3 linked regions of the Yarrowia lipolytica genome follow. The protein of the gene in region 3 interacts with the protein of the main gene of each other region in a pairwise test. Links are inferred from orthologs where the notes say so. Each region holds a gene or a part of one and is shown on either strand. Other genes may lie near its edges. The genes, in order: YALI1_D21031g, YALI1_B11916g and YALI1_A02083g.

What was found.
Region 1: the proteins of YALI1_A02083g (region 3) and YALI1_D21031g interact in binary tests that used the Saccharomyces cerevisiae proteins (3 or more experiments, as listed by UniProt). The link is inferred for Yarrowia lipolytica from reciprocal best matches to the Saccharomyces cerevisiae genes GIM3 and YKE2.
Region 2: the proteins of YALI1_A02083g (region 3) and YALI1_B11916g interact in binary tests that used the Saccharomyces cerevisiae proteins (3 or more experiments, as listed by UniProt). The link is inferred for Yarrowia lipolytica from reciprocal best matches to the Saccharomyces cerevisiae genes GIM3 and PAC10.

Annotation. Positions count from the first base shown.
Region 1 is NC_090773.1:2,102,220-2,106,958, reverse strand, and holds YALI1_D21031g (uncharacterized protein), read left to right. Parts: upstream 1-2,715; coding exon 2,716-2,773; intron 2,774-3,414; coding exon 3,415-3,671; intron 3,672-3,850; coding exon 3,851-3,892; downstream 3,893-4,739. Other genes in the region: YALI1_D21076g (uncharacterized protein), read left to right, coding at 1-858; YALI1_D21044g (uncharacterized protein), read right to left, coding at 1,170-1,991, 2,526-2,531; YALI1_D21023g (uncharacterized protein), read right to left, coding at 3,910-4,023, 4,069-4,114, 4,220-4,305, 4,388-4,591. UniProt on the Saccharomyces cerevisiae protein: Binds specifically to cytosolic chaperonin (c-CPN) and transfers target proteins to it. Binds to nascent polypeptide chain and promotes folding in an environment in which there are many competing pathways for nonnative proteins.
Region 2 is NC_090771.1:1,190,187-1,194,081, reverse strand, and holds YALI1_B11916g (uncharacterized protein), read left to right. Parts: upstream 1-2,467; coding exon 2,468-3,034; downstream 3,035-3,895. Other genes in the region: YALI1_B11934g (60S ribosomal protein eL18), read right to left, coding at 1-230, 530-641. UniProt on the Saccharomyces cerevisiae protein: Binds specifically to cytosolic chaperonin (c-CPN) and transfers target proteins to it. Binds to nascent polypeptide chain and promotes folding in an environment in which there are many competing pathways for nonnative proteins.
Region 3 is NC_090770.1:207,090-211,628, reverse strand, and holds YALI1_A02083g (uncharacterized protein), read left to right. Parts: upstream 1-2,706; coding exon 2,707-2,715; intron 2,716-3,296; coding exon 3,297-3,680; downstream 3,681-4,539. Other genes in the region: YALI1_A02113g (uncharacterized protein), read left to right, coding at 192-227, 282-620; YALI1_A02096g (uncharacterized protein), read right to left, coding at 720-2,000; YALI1_A02075g (uncharacterized protein), read left to right, coding at 4,104-4,539. UniProt on the Saccharomyces cerevisiae protein: Binds specifically to cytosolic chaperonin (c-CPN) and transfers target proteins to it. Binds to nascent polypeptide chain and promotes folding in an environment in which there are many competing pathways for nonnative proteins.

The sequences.
Region 1 (4,739 bases), on a different chromosome or scaffold from region 3:
AAGTCCGAGCTGTCCGAGGACTCCCTGCACGACATTGCTGCCATCGTGAACGACGATGCTGGTCTTGCCCAGCAGATTATCGACGCTTCCAAGATCTCCATGGGCCAGGACATCTCCGAGGCTGACATGGACAACGTTACCACCTTCGCCGAGCGAGTTGTCAACATCACCGACTACCGACGAAAGCTCTACGGCTACCTGTCCGAGAAGATGAACACCATTGCTCCCAACCTGTCCGAGCTTATTGGTGAGGTTGTTGGTGCCCGACTCATCTCTCACGCCGGTTCTCTTACCAACCTGTCCAAGTACCCTGCCTCTACTGTCCAGATTCTCGGTGCCGAGAAGGCTCTGTTCCGAGCTCTTAAGACCAAGGGAAACACCCCTAAATACGGTCTGATCTACCACTCTTCTTTCATCGGCAAGGCCGGTCTCAAGAACAAGGGCCGAATCTCCCGATTCCTCGCCAACAAGTGTTCCATTGCATCTCGAATCGACAACTACTCCGATGTGCCCACTTCCATCTTCGGAAAGGCCCTCAAGCAGCAGGTCGAGGAGCGACTCACCTTCTACGATACCGGAGTTGCCCCCACCAAGAACGTCGATGCCATGAAGAACGCCATGGACGAGGTTCTGGCCAACATGGGCGACGTTGAGGTCGATGAGGACTCTGACGTTGAGATGGATGACGATTCCGACAAGAAGGAGAAGAAGGAAAAGAAGGACAAGAAGGAAAAGAAGGAAAAGAAGGACAAGTCTGAGAAGAAGGACAAGAAGGACAAGAAGGAAAAGAAGGACAAGAAGCGAAAGAGCTTGGGCGGTGATGAGACTCCTAAGAAGAAGAAGTCAAAGAAGGATTAATGTAGTATATATTTAACGGATAATACAAGTGAAGATGCAAAGTTGCATACATCTGGCATGCAGTGAGGGTTGCCAGATGATGTGATTTTGCGACCGTAGAATGAGGGAAGACTGCCACAAGACTGGAATCTGAGAAATGTGATAACACCTACAAGTATCTGACATGTCTCAGGCACTACAGCTGTGCCTGTTTTCATAGGCGGTATTCTCATACAAGTTCACTGAGCCCTTATCAGGTACAATACTAAGACAAATATACTAATTGTGTTGTGGACGCATCGAAACCGCCTCTGCAACGCAGTCATGACCTCCTACAGGTACAGTCCAGCAACGCCATCATCTGCTCTCAACTCCTTCAACGCCTTTGCTGCGTCGAGCCCGAAAACTCCGGCGAGAATTCCAGTCAGGTCCTCGAACGTGTCACTCTGGTATCGCTCGAACGACTGAGTGCCCACATTCTGGACCACTAGTGCTGTGGCAGGCACCTGTGACTGCTGACATCGGGTGAGAACGGCGGCTCCTAGTCCAGATATGAAGTTTGGAGACTGCAGCAGAGGTGTGGAAGCCAGGGGGACGAGATTCGACTTACCCACATCCAGCTGGTGCACATGAACGTCAGCAATGGTGTTACCAGGTGCAAGAATGAGCGCTTGGCAGGGTTTGATTAGATCAACCAACTGTTGAGCAAACCCATGTGCCAGAAGAAGCTCATCCTGCTTGATTTCCACTAGAACCACATCTCCATACTGAACTGGCGATAGGATTACCTTGTGGGAGGTGATCAGCTCTTTAGTGACATCCTCCAGCTCGTCCTCCTCGTCTTCCTCCTCCAAAAAGTCGGTGGTAAACTTGCGTCTGTTTTCTGCGCTCTGGGCATTCTTTTTGAGCTGAATCTCGCCGACAATCTCGCCGAGATTGATGGGTTTCGATTTCTGAGTGAAAAGAGCTTCCACTACAGGAAAGAGTTTTGCTGTGGACACGAGAAGAGTCTGTGGCGAGGTTGGATGAGTGAGAGAGTTGGCGAAGAGCACGGATTTCGTGTAGGGCGACGCTTCCTGGCCGTCTTCAAATCCTTCTTCATGTCCCTCCTCGATAATGTGTCGGGGAGAGTTGACTTGGAGCCATGGTTTGAGCTGGGTTAGAAATGAATGAAAGGAACAGGAAGTGAGGTCATGGATCTGTTATCCCAAGTCACGCAATTGTAATCTGAGAGCACAACCAGATCATTTCGGTGATATGTTATGGAACAAGTCCACACAACAACATAAATGGCACTAAAAAGACGGTCTTTCAAGATCAGCAAAGCAGAAGCTGTTAAAACCCGTGTTCGTGGTCGTCACCGCAGAGTGGAATCAACGTCTGGACATGCGAGACATCACTATCATGACACTCTGACGTAGTAGCATAGCATCAATCACCAAGAGACATGACGTGAACCGGATTCATTCGCCCGAGTGAGTAGCTCATTCAAGAATGAACAGGTAACATGTCATGGTTGGATAGTGTCGGATAACATGCAATGGTTGAATAATGTCGGCCAACCCTCATCTCATCTCATCTCATCTCGCCTTCTTGGGTATGATCCAGTCGATACCGGTCAGAAACCGCCGTCCAACCACTCAATGGCAACCACTGTTGTTCAACGGCCTCCAGGCTCCTGTACTCACTTGCATTGTGTTGTATTTCCGTCTTTGGTACCGTTTCTGGCAGCGTTGGTGTGCTGGAGAGGGTGGCGCTAGGGTCTCGATAAACTCGCCTCCAAAGATGCGAGGTCTCGAACTTTGTCGAAATTGTAGGCAGTCAAATCGCCAGGCTGACCAAACGACAGATCACCACAACACAACACCAACAGACAAGATGGAAGACCAGAAAAAGTTTGAGCAGCTCTCCGGCGAGTTTGAGGTTGTCCAGCAATGTGAGTAGTGTGCGAAGCTGGCAGCAGCACGGGAACATGAACGGGGATGGAGGCTCACCAGGTGTTGGATCCGACGGAGAAGAGATGGCTGAATTGCGGTGAAAATGGGCTGACAATGGAGAGATTAGGCGAAAGCTGCAATTACACGATCCCAATTGGCCCTAACAGGTCCATGCGTGTTGCTGTGACCGATATCAGGTGATAACTGGGTAGCACTGGGGTGTCAAATCAGTTTTATGACCACCAACGGAAGGACTGAAGGACCTGAAGACGTCCAGCTGAGACCCTGGCTCGTCCGAATGAGCCGACTGAGCCGATACAATCAGTTGAACGTTGTTTCGGATTAATAGCCATCCTTTTGCAACAGATTTGTCGACATCAAGTGGGTGGTACTGAAAGGTGCATTCTCTAGGCTGACGTCCTAGCCGGTTGCTAGCGGTATATGCGAGAGAAGACCCAGGTCAGTTTCTCATGTTCTGTGGTATTCTATGGTCTTGCGGGGATTCATCTCTTCTAGATAGATGCCTTCTAAAACCCCGACGTGCTATCTCTCTTCTACCAGCACCCCGAAGCCGAAGCCGAAGCCGATCCCCAACCCCCTCTACTTCCGGCCCCGGCCACTGCCGTGCGTACTAACCCAGCCATGCAAAAACACATTGAGTCCCGGCAAAAGCTCGAGGCCCAACTACAGGAAAACCTCATTGTTGAGGATGAGTTCAAGTCCGTCAAGGACAACGCCAAGGTCTACAAGCTGACCGGCCCCGTGCTGGTGCCCCAGTCTATCGACGAAGCCAAGAGCAACGTGGAGAAGCGACTGGAGTTCATCCGCGGCCAGATCTCCACCGTGGAGGAGGAGGTTGCAAGTTTGCAAAAGCAGGCTGAGGACAAGAGAGATCAGGTGAGTTGAGAAAGGCGATACTGTTCTGGTGGGGAAATGACTGTCAAATATGGCGCACAAGATGCATAAGATGCACAAGGCGCACTGGTTTACTTCATGTTTTCTGTTATTTACATATGCACTAAATGCCAGGAAGTGGCGTGTCGGCGTTTGCCCGTCCTGCTTACTTACTAACACAGCTCCTGGCCCTGCGAGCCAAGCTCCAGGCTCCCCCGTCATAGTCAGACGTGGTGCAAGTCTAGACCTCCAATAGCGTCTCGGTTTCGGCTTCGACCTTTTCAGTATCGAGATGCTCGGGGCCAAAGCTCAGAGGCAGCAGCTCCTTGATGGTTTGCATCGTGTACTTTCCGTCCTGGGTTAGCAATCAATTGATAGAATGATGACAGTGTATACTCACCTTGGTGAAGAGATAGATGGGAATGTCGGTAGACCATTCTCTGATGCTGCGTTAGTACGGACAACCACTGAAGGCGTAGCTGTAGGCTCTGGTGCGATTTCGAACGTCAGACTAAAACACGGCTCCTAAGACAAGACAGGTTTATACTCACAACTGTCGACAAATACCGCATGGGGAGCAGACCACAGAAAGGTCCGAAGCCACTCCAATAGCCTTGAACTTCTTGTGTCCCTCCATCTGTGTTAGTAGGCAAGTAGGCACCATCACTTGATCTCCCCGTGCCCATGCTGACACTGCATCCTCTGTGTGGTGTACTCACAATAGCCCTGGTGATGGCCACTCTTTCGGCGCAAATAGCACCTCCGTAACTGGCGTTCTCCACATTGGCGCCCTGGATCCATTCTCCAGACTCGGTCAGCAGCACAGCTCCGACTCGGAACTTTGAGTAGGGCGAGTAAGAGAAGTCACGTGCGCTGAGCGACTTGTCCCGCAGGTTTTCGAGTTCGGATTTGGTGATTGACATGTATGTGTAAGAGTGGGTTGTCCTTGTGGCACTGGTACGGCACTTGAAGTGTGGGCGGTATTGTCCCAGCTGATATCATCTCTTATCTCAAAGTTTATTAATGTGCGAAATAAAACACGTATTTAATTTCAACCTTGATTCGCAACCA
Region 2 (3,895 bases), on a different chromosome or scaffold from region 3:
GATTCGAGCTCGGGCAGTGCCGGTGAATCGGAGGGCAGCGACGGTGGTCTTGGGGAACTCGACGAGTCGGGGATCGTCAGTCACGGTGCCGACAACAACAACGATCTTGTCAGCATTGCCCTTGACCTTGAGGTTCTCGACAATCTTGCCAGTGGAGACGGGGGGTCGGTTGACCTTGGAGAGGAAAAGACCCTTGAGAACCCGCTTGTTGAACTTGGAGTCAGTTCGTCCTGAGTTAGTAAAAAGAAAACGAAATAAAAGGCCGAATGTCAAAATTCGACTGTGATGCCGTATCAATAGAATCCCAAAACAAGATGGGTCTTGATTCTGGCACCACTCTACGTGGCATGTCGAGGGAGTTCGGGCAACGCAACTGTGCCATACACAAGTACCATACTTGTAATAGTACGGTAGATGCCACCGCACAGCACATGCATAGACCCACTCTCAACCTCTCCGTAGTGCTCACGCTCCGCACATTTCTGTGCTTGGACAATGTCATTAATAACACGTCCTCACTCGCACTCACGGGCCAGGAATCGGTACAGCTTGACCAGGAGGGTCAGGTAGACGTTCTCGGACTTGGGAGCAGTTCGGTTAGAATGCTTCTGGTGCTTCTTGGTGAAAGAGTCTTTTCCCATGGTGAATGATTTGTCGAAGATGAAGAGACTGCAGAGAGAAATTAAGATACTTGGGAGGAGTCCCAACTGAAAATTTGAAAGAGCAGTCACGTCACGTGAATTACAAATTGGGACAAACCTTAACCAGATTGGCGAAATTGGGACCCTCCTCCAACATGTTGTGAAAGTCATGTGAGAATGGGCGTAGAGGGGATGTTGTGGGTTATTTGAGGGTCTAGGAATATCGCAGAGAAATTGGTTATATCACTCTGGGTCTCGATATGCCATAATATCGTTTACTGTCATTGTTCCTTTTTACCCTAAAAAAAATGACAAAATTAATAATCAAAACCTTATTTGAGTTTGTTAATCACCGTCGGTTCGATTCGAAGTGGTGCATCTATTTGCTGCACTCACTTTGGCTAAACTGACGGCTATTCGGAAATCCCAATTTGGCAAGGTGTTTATTTTTAGGGTTTAGACTAACATAAAAAAAAATTGGGCAAGCTCCAAAGTCATCTCGAAGAGGTAGCAAGGGGTAAAAGACGGATTAGGAAAAGCAATGGGGTTTTTGGTGGTTTTGTGTTATATGATTTTGTGATTTGAGGATTTATTTTCTCCGTTTCGGATTTGGTTGTCAGGTCAAGTAATTTGTTGGGGTGGCTGGAATGATTCTGATTAACAAAAAGATTGAGATCGTTAGGATATTGGTTGAGGTGTAGTTGGAATGGAGACATGTCTACAAGTGGCTGAAGAGACACGGTGGAGAGAAGTGAAAGAAGATAATTGCGGTTAAAACCCTCTGCTGAGTTCATCCAGGGATTTCTCTTCCTCTTTCCGAGCCCAATTTCGGATTCTATCTTGGAGTTTTCACTTTGAAGTGACAACTACACACACCACTTCTATCACCACGGGTAATCACCCGATCAGAGATTTTGAATAATAACCATTCCATCCGTCACGTGGCAACTAACAAATGTCTCCTTACAATCTATTTTGCTGGAGGACTCCATCTAACTTGAATGTATACTTTAGTCAGCAAATGATGTTTACTCCATGAAGTCCTCGTGGTTCTTTATCAAAAAAACAACCAATGTTGATCCGATAGTAAATGAACTCACCAACAATTTGTTAACTGAGCAATCTCAACGGGTTTCTGGCAAAGTCCTTCTTTGGTGTCTTCTTTGGTGTCTTCTTTGGTGTCTTTTCAACACTCAGCGCGTCTGCACTGAGGAACGAGCGGATCCAAATATCGCAATATTGGGGGAGTGCATGGATATTAATCACAGATTTTTTTATAGGTTGCAATTATATGAGTAAATTAACTGTTTCTGATTCAGTTATCTTCTCAGTTGGACAGGTTTTGACGGTTTGATTTATTGTACTGGTGCAGAACAGAAGAGATTGAAATTCTCACATTACTTGATTGGATTTTTTTCAGGTCAATGAAAAACAGTTTTCTTTTCTGGTTTTCTTTGATCTTTTGGTATTTTCCAGTCACCATAGAACGCTTGAGGATGTGGGTAATGTCGTCGTAACGTCTAACTAAGTATCTTAACTAAGTTCAAGTAAAGGTATACACACTTAGTACATGAGTTAGGGCGGTGCTTTGTTGTCCTCTATGGTTGTTTTCGCAAGAAAAATGTTGTGGAACATGTATCTTTCCATCAGTAAATTTGCAGCTATTCCAATGGTGTAATAATCATAGCCCATTTTCATACAAAATTGTGACTTGTGGAACTACTCTTCAAACTGACTGCACCAACTCCCTAAACTTCCGCCTGCAGATCACCACATCACAGATCGCACACTACAGATCACTCCAGTTACACAATCACTCACACACAATGTCTGCGTCCTCTGAACCTGACACAAACCCCCGCGGCATTCCCCGGGCCCCCTTCGTCGACAATGTGGCCGAGTTTGTGAGCAAGTCGGGCGTCAAGGAATCGCTCGACAAATTCCAGGAAATGCTGCAAAAGTACAAGTATATGGAAATGACGACTTTACAGCGGCAGGCCGGGCTCAAGGAGAAGATTCCGGACATCCAAAAGTCGCTGGAGATGGTGGAGTTTCTGCAGCTCAAGGGTTCGGCCGGCGAAGACGTGGTGACCAACTACGAGCTCAACGACACGCTGTACACAGAAGCCAAGATCGAGGCGAGCGGCATTCAGTCTGTCTATCTGTGGCTGGGCGCCAACGTGATGCTGGAGTACGATGTTGCCGAGGCCAAGCAGCTGCTGAGTGAGCGGTTGGAGGGTGCCAAGAGAGGCTACGACACCGCCGAGGAAGATGTGCTGTTTCTGAGAGAAAACATCACCACCGTTGAGGTGAACATTGCCCGTGTGCACAACTGGGACGTAAACCGACGTAAGAAGGAGCGTGAGGAGGCGGAGCGAGCGGAAAACAAGTAGGTGATGGTATGAAATGAATGTCAATCTTGAGAATGGGTGGAATTTTTTTGGGGGGTGAACAAAATCGGAAGATATCAGCGGAATGTCTGGGCTGGGGCGAATATCACTGCGGCATCCGTTTTTGTTTTGGACAAGAAATCATCGACTTGTGTTGTAGGTACACTTGTCTCTGACTTCCACGTTTGTATAACCTGATAGGGTGCTACTTGTATGTACTCAAGAGTAGATATCTCCAAAGATTGTACGTGTATCATCAAAGCTGGTTTGAAACCGCAATTGGGATCTCTGTTTGATTCTGAGCCGATGGATCTACTTGTTTTCCAATTGTAACTTGTCATGACAGTTCCTGTAGATTGTCTATAGCTCCGCGTACAGCTAAAGAAGTGAAGGCCTGAGAACTCTTCTGGATCAATTGAGATCAATCGTTAATGATAGCAATTCTTGTGTCTTTCATAGGTCGATTATTACTTGTCTTGAAGCTTCTGTACATCTCAGGAACATGTAGTCTTCTCTTCCATGTATACATGCCCGAACTCCTCAGCAAAATCGAAGAGAACAACGTATCACCTGCTCTTCAGAAAGATGTGGGCGCACCGTAAAAACGATACCATCCACCTTGTCTGTCTGCTGGATATAATGTGGAGAAAACCCCCGACCTTTGTGAGGAAAAAAAGGAGAGTTGGAGAAACTGCTAGTTTTGCCTGTTCTAAACTAACCCCCAACTAGTTCCCAACTAACACTTGATCTATAGCCTACAACATACCACATCAGATCGTCCCCAGAAAGGCTCCAATTGCTCCAAAAATTGGGAACCGGTTATTTTGTTCTCCTTCTGAATACTTGGTTCATTTCTCAGCTCAA
Region 3 (4,539 bases):
AACTAGATCTGCCGCATGTGGAAACTCCAGCTTCAGGTCCTGTTCGTAGAATAATCGAGCCATGACTTCGCGAGTGGGTGTTGAGCATTGTAGTGTTACCCAGTTTTGACTGGCCTCCTTCATATCAGAACCAACGGCGGCTTTTAAAAGGGGCTCCAATTCGGACCCGCGACAGGTTTGACTCTTTTTCAATGGACTTCCTTAACAGAAGTAACCCCCCTTCCCGAGTAGAACTTCTTCGGTGTTGATCTCTTGCCGCAGTCGGTATCGAACAGGCATAGTCAACTCCCTCGTTAACGCCAAAAATAGAAGTTGAGCTTCATAAAACTTCAAGAATACGTCAAACCATCCATCGGAGCTTTCATTGGACCCTCGAATGCGAAATTGAATCTTTCAACGTTTTCAAGTGTGCACTCGCCATAGAGCTTGCTGATTTTGTTTTCAAAAACTGCTCTGCAGTGCATGGCTTCTTGTTTCCAAAGCTGTATTCGGCGGGCATGATGATATGTGTCGGCCATGTCGGGCATGTCGTTCATGTCGGCCATGTCGTTGAGCTGTGTTTGCCATCACGCTACTGGAACGTTATAGCCATTTCTGAGCTCATACTTCCCCAGTGGTGATGAAATCTGATCAGCTGATGAATAAACAAAACTTGAGACGCTCGAAAGATCCTCGAGGCTCGCCGGGCTGCCTCGCACTCCCCATATCGTGCTGTACACTCACTTGGGCATTGTATTCAAAACACCTCGTTGTAAAGCAGGAAAAGAATATCCACCCTCGTAAACCAGGATGGGGTTTCTCTTTCTCGCCTGATCTCGCGCCTTGTTCAGCTCCTCCTTGCTCTTGAACAGCTCTCGATGACTGTCCCAGTCGATAAACTGGACCGTGGCCTTTGGGAGGTCGGAAACAACAAAGAACCGGTTATCCCAGAGACTCACACGACCGGGAGTTAGCTGGACCACGTGATCGGAAGGTCGTCGAGGCACCTCGCGCGACAGCTGCCATTTGTCGTTTCTGAGGGAGAAGTCGACTCCGGCAAGGTTGAACTTGTTGCCTGCTTCAAACCGTCCAGTCAAGCCTCGCAGTCTGTGCAGCCTTAGAGACAGATCTGGCAACGGAGATAGCGGAGAAAGAATGTTTCTCAATACTAGTTGAAGCGTATCATGTGGCAGTTTGGTCAGAACCCCTTTCACTTGTTCCTCAGAGAGAGTAATAGTTCCATCTGGCGATTGAGAAGCAGCTAGCAATCTGGAAGATACCTCGGAAGCCTCCGTTTCGCACTTTATCCGATACCCATTGAGCTTCTCCAGCAGTCTCAATACATTGGATGCCTGGAACTCCTCCGGAATCAGTTCCGGGTACTCGTAATACATCTTTCTCACCAGGTTTCGTTCTGCAATCTCCACGTTTTGGTTGGTAGGGTCTTCGAACCAGGGGATGTTGTTCTTAACAAGCACATTTCGTAAATGGGACTTTGTTAGACCCAGTAACGGTCTCATTAGCTTCCATCCAGACGCCAATTCCGTCCTTGAATGCTGTTTCAGCGCAATACCACCTCCTCCCCAGGTATAAGGATTAAACGAGACTCGTGGCTGGATTCCTGCAAGTCCAAATAATCCACTTCCTCTAAGCATACGTACCACGAATGTCTCTATACAATCGTCTTGGGTATGTGCCGTGACGACTGTAGAAACTCCGTCATCATTCATGGCCGCAATGAGTTTCGAATAACGCGCCTGTCGCATTGAAAGTTCTTTTGTGTCGTTCAAAGCGTCCAATTTGAGAATCCGATGGTTTATACCTAGTCTAGAGACGATTTCGTGAACGTTTTGGGCCTCCGAAGACGATTCACTCCGTACCCCGTGATCCACGGTGTATGCTGTGGTTTTCTCGCTCAAACCGGGTGTTTGTGATATCATGTAGGCCAGTGCCATTGAGTCGGACCCTCCGCTGACCGCCAGAGCGAGTCTGGGAAGTTTTGTGAGGGTGTTCAAAGGCATGACTGGGGATGTTGGGTATTGCGCAAAAGTGGGTATCTTAGGCCGGTCTTTCGACTTGGAACGATATTTTCGACTAATTTGGTCTGATTTTTTTGCAATTTCCAATCTTTAGAAGAAATATGTTGGAAATATGACGGAATATGACGGAAATATGATGTTGTTCTGATGTGTACGGTGAAACTTGAAATTATGGGGAACTCTAAAATAATGAAAAATCACGATTTTTTTTTTTTCAGTGGTGATTTAAAGTTGAGATGAAAATAACGACCAAAACAGAGAACATTCTGGAAGACTTGAAATGGCGCTGAAGAGCTGGAAACAGAGAAGTCAGCTCAAATCTGCCTGCAAATTTTCATGATTGGTTTTTCTGGACAAAATCGACTGTTTTTAAGCCAAATAACACTACAAGTACGTACTGGAGAAATCCAATCTGGACTTGATACATAAACATCATTTAGGAAGTCTAAGAAGGGGGGATATAACGTCACGTGATCAAATCATGCGATCCACCAGATCCGATTGACGAGGTCGAGGAAGATGGTATAACTCGTCCGATTCGCGATTTGCGGTTATTTCCTTGAAATACCACCTGACCGGGTTCGAACTGGCGACCCATCCTCCTCGTAGAGTTCACTTACATAAGCAAGATGATGCACGCCTGAACACACAATCCAGGAGTGCACTGACCAACACACAACTACACACAATGCGAATGGTGAGTAATGGGCTGGACAGGAGGTTTTAGAGACGCATTTGCGGACAGAATTTGTTGTTACAATGCAGATGCGGTTCAGAATGGACCATCGCCAGTTGCTGGGGCGGTGTGGCAATCAGTGACACATCCGTGATTGGTCTTTGATCTGATCTTGAGAGGAGGGCAATTATGAGTGAAGGTCTGGTTGGTTGTTTAAAATTGAATCTCCGTGGTATGAGACTAGGTGGTATACAAATTCAAGCATACCAACAGCCAACCAGGGATACGACCTCACCGAGTACCGTAGAGCTGAGAGATGTGGTTGAGATCGATTGATCATCCTGTAATGAAGTCAGATGTGCCCATAATTGCAACTGGGACCGCAGAAAGGAACAGATCGAGATGGAGGCCACAAATTGATGTATTAGCCGGGGTACATCTGCTTGCCGTGTCCATGTTGATCGCTGACTTACCAGAAACCAGAAATCCATCTGCGTTCGACCCGTTTGGCTGTATGCCTGAACCACTGGTAATCGTGCGCAGTTAAGGGCTCGTTTACACTTATCTGAGTCTGCTGGCGAATCCATCCAGTACTAACCCAGCTCGACGAAGGAACCGAGGTCAAGGACGTGGAAGTTCTGAGGGAGGACCAGGACCGAATTAACCGCTTCTCTTCTCTCAACACCCAGATGGACCATCTTGAGGACGATGAGAAGGAGTCGTCGACCAGCAAAGAGTACCTGGACGATCTGATCATGGAGATGGAGCTGATGGACGAGGACGAGACCGTCAAGTTCAAGATTGGCGACGCCTTTGTGGACATTCCCCAGAGTGAAGCCATGGTGCGACTAGAGAAGCAGCAGGAGGAAGTGGACGCCAAGCTCGACAAGACCCAGAGCAGGATGGCCGAGATTCGAGACGAGATGGAGGAGCTCAAGAAGCATTTGTATGCCAAGTTTGGCAACTCCATTTCTCTTGAGAGATAGGCTCCAGGGGATAGTTGGATGATGTATTTGATAGATGGTTGATTGTGGGTTGTGTAGATTGTGGAATTACATGAGGCTGAAAAGGCTGGATACGGCTGGATTCGGCTGGATGTGGCTGTCATCGACGTGGTGGAGGAGGATTGAAATAATCATGTTATTAATAGGATAAGTAGATTAATGTAGTCATTTTTTTCTTCTTTTTTTTCTTCTAATTTTTCTAATTTTTTTAATTTTTAATTTTCTAGTTTTTCTATTTTTTAATTTTCTATTTTTTCTATTTTTTTTTTTTCAATTTTACCCCACATGAGCCTCAGTCAAATCATGCACATGCCGCATCGGAAATGCAGAATACAGCCGAACTGAACCTCATGTTGGGCCCCACGAGCTTTTGACACCGATTATCAACTTCCGAAACATGCTGAAATGGCACAAATACGGCTGAAATCGACTCCAATGTCTCCAAAATCCCGACACGCGCCAAAACTCACGACCCAAGAGCTTTTTATGGCAGCGGAAAGAAGACGAGTTTTGTGGATCAAGTCTGATGACCAAGGAGCAGGAGCAGGAAAAGTGGTGAAGAGGAGCAGCAGGAGGGAAAAACGGTTGGACTTGGAGAAACTGTCAAAGACCGGGCTCATTGAGACTCACGTGGAAGAATTGGGTGCATTTGATCGAGGGTCCGAGAATGTGACTGGAGAACCACCGCTAGGCACCATGAGGACCAAGCAGCAGGAGAAAGATACATCTATCATTGCCGAGCACAAAGTGTCCAAATTCGCCTTAGGCCACACAACTGATACCTCTGTCGGGGAAGGTGCTGATCCAAGTACTGATACTATTGGTGGTACGGCCAAGGTCA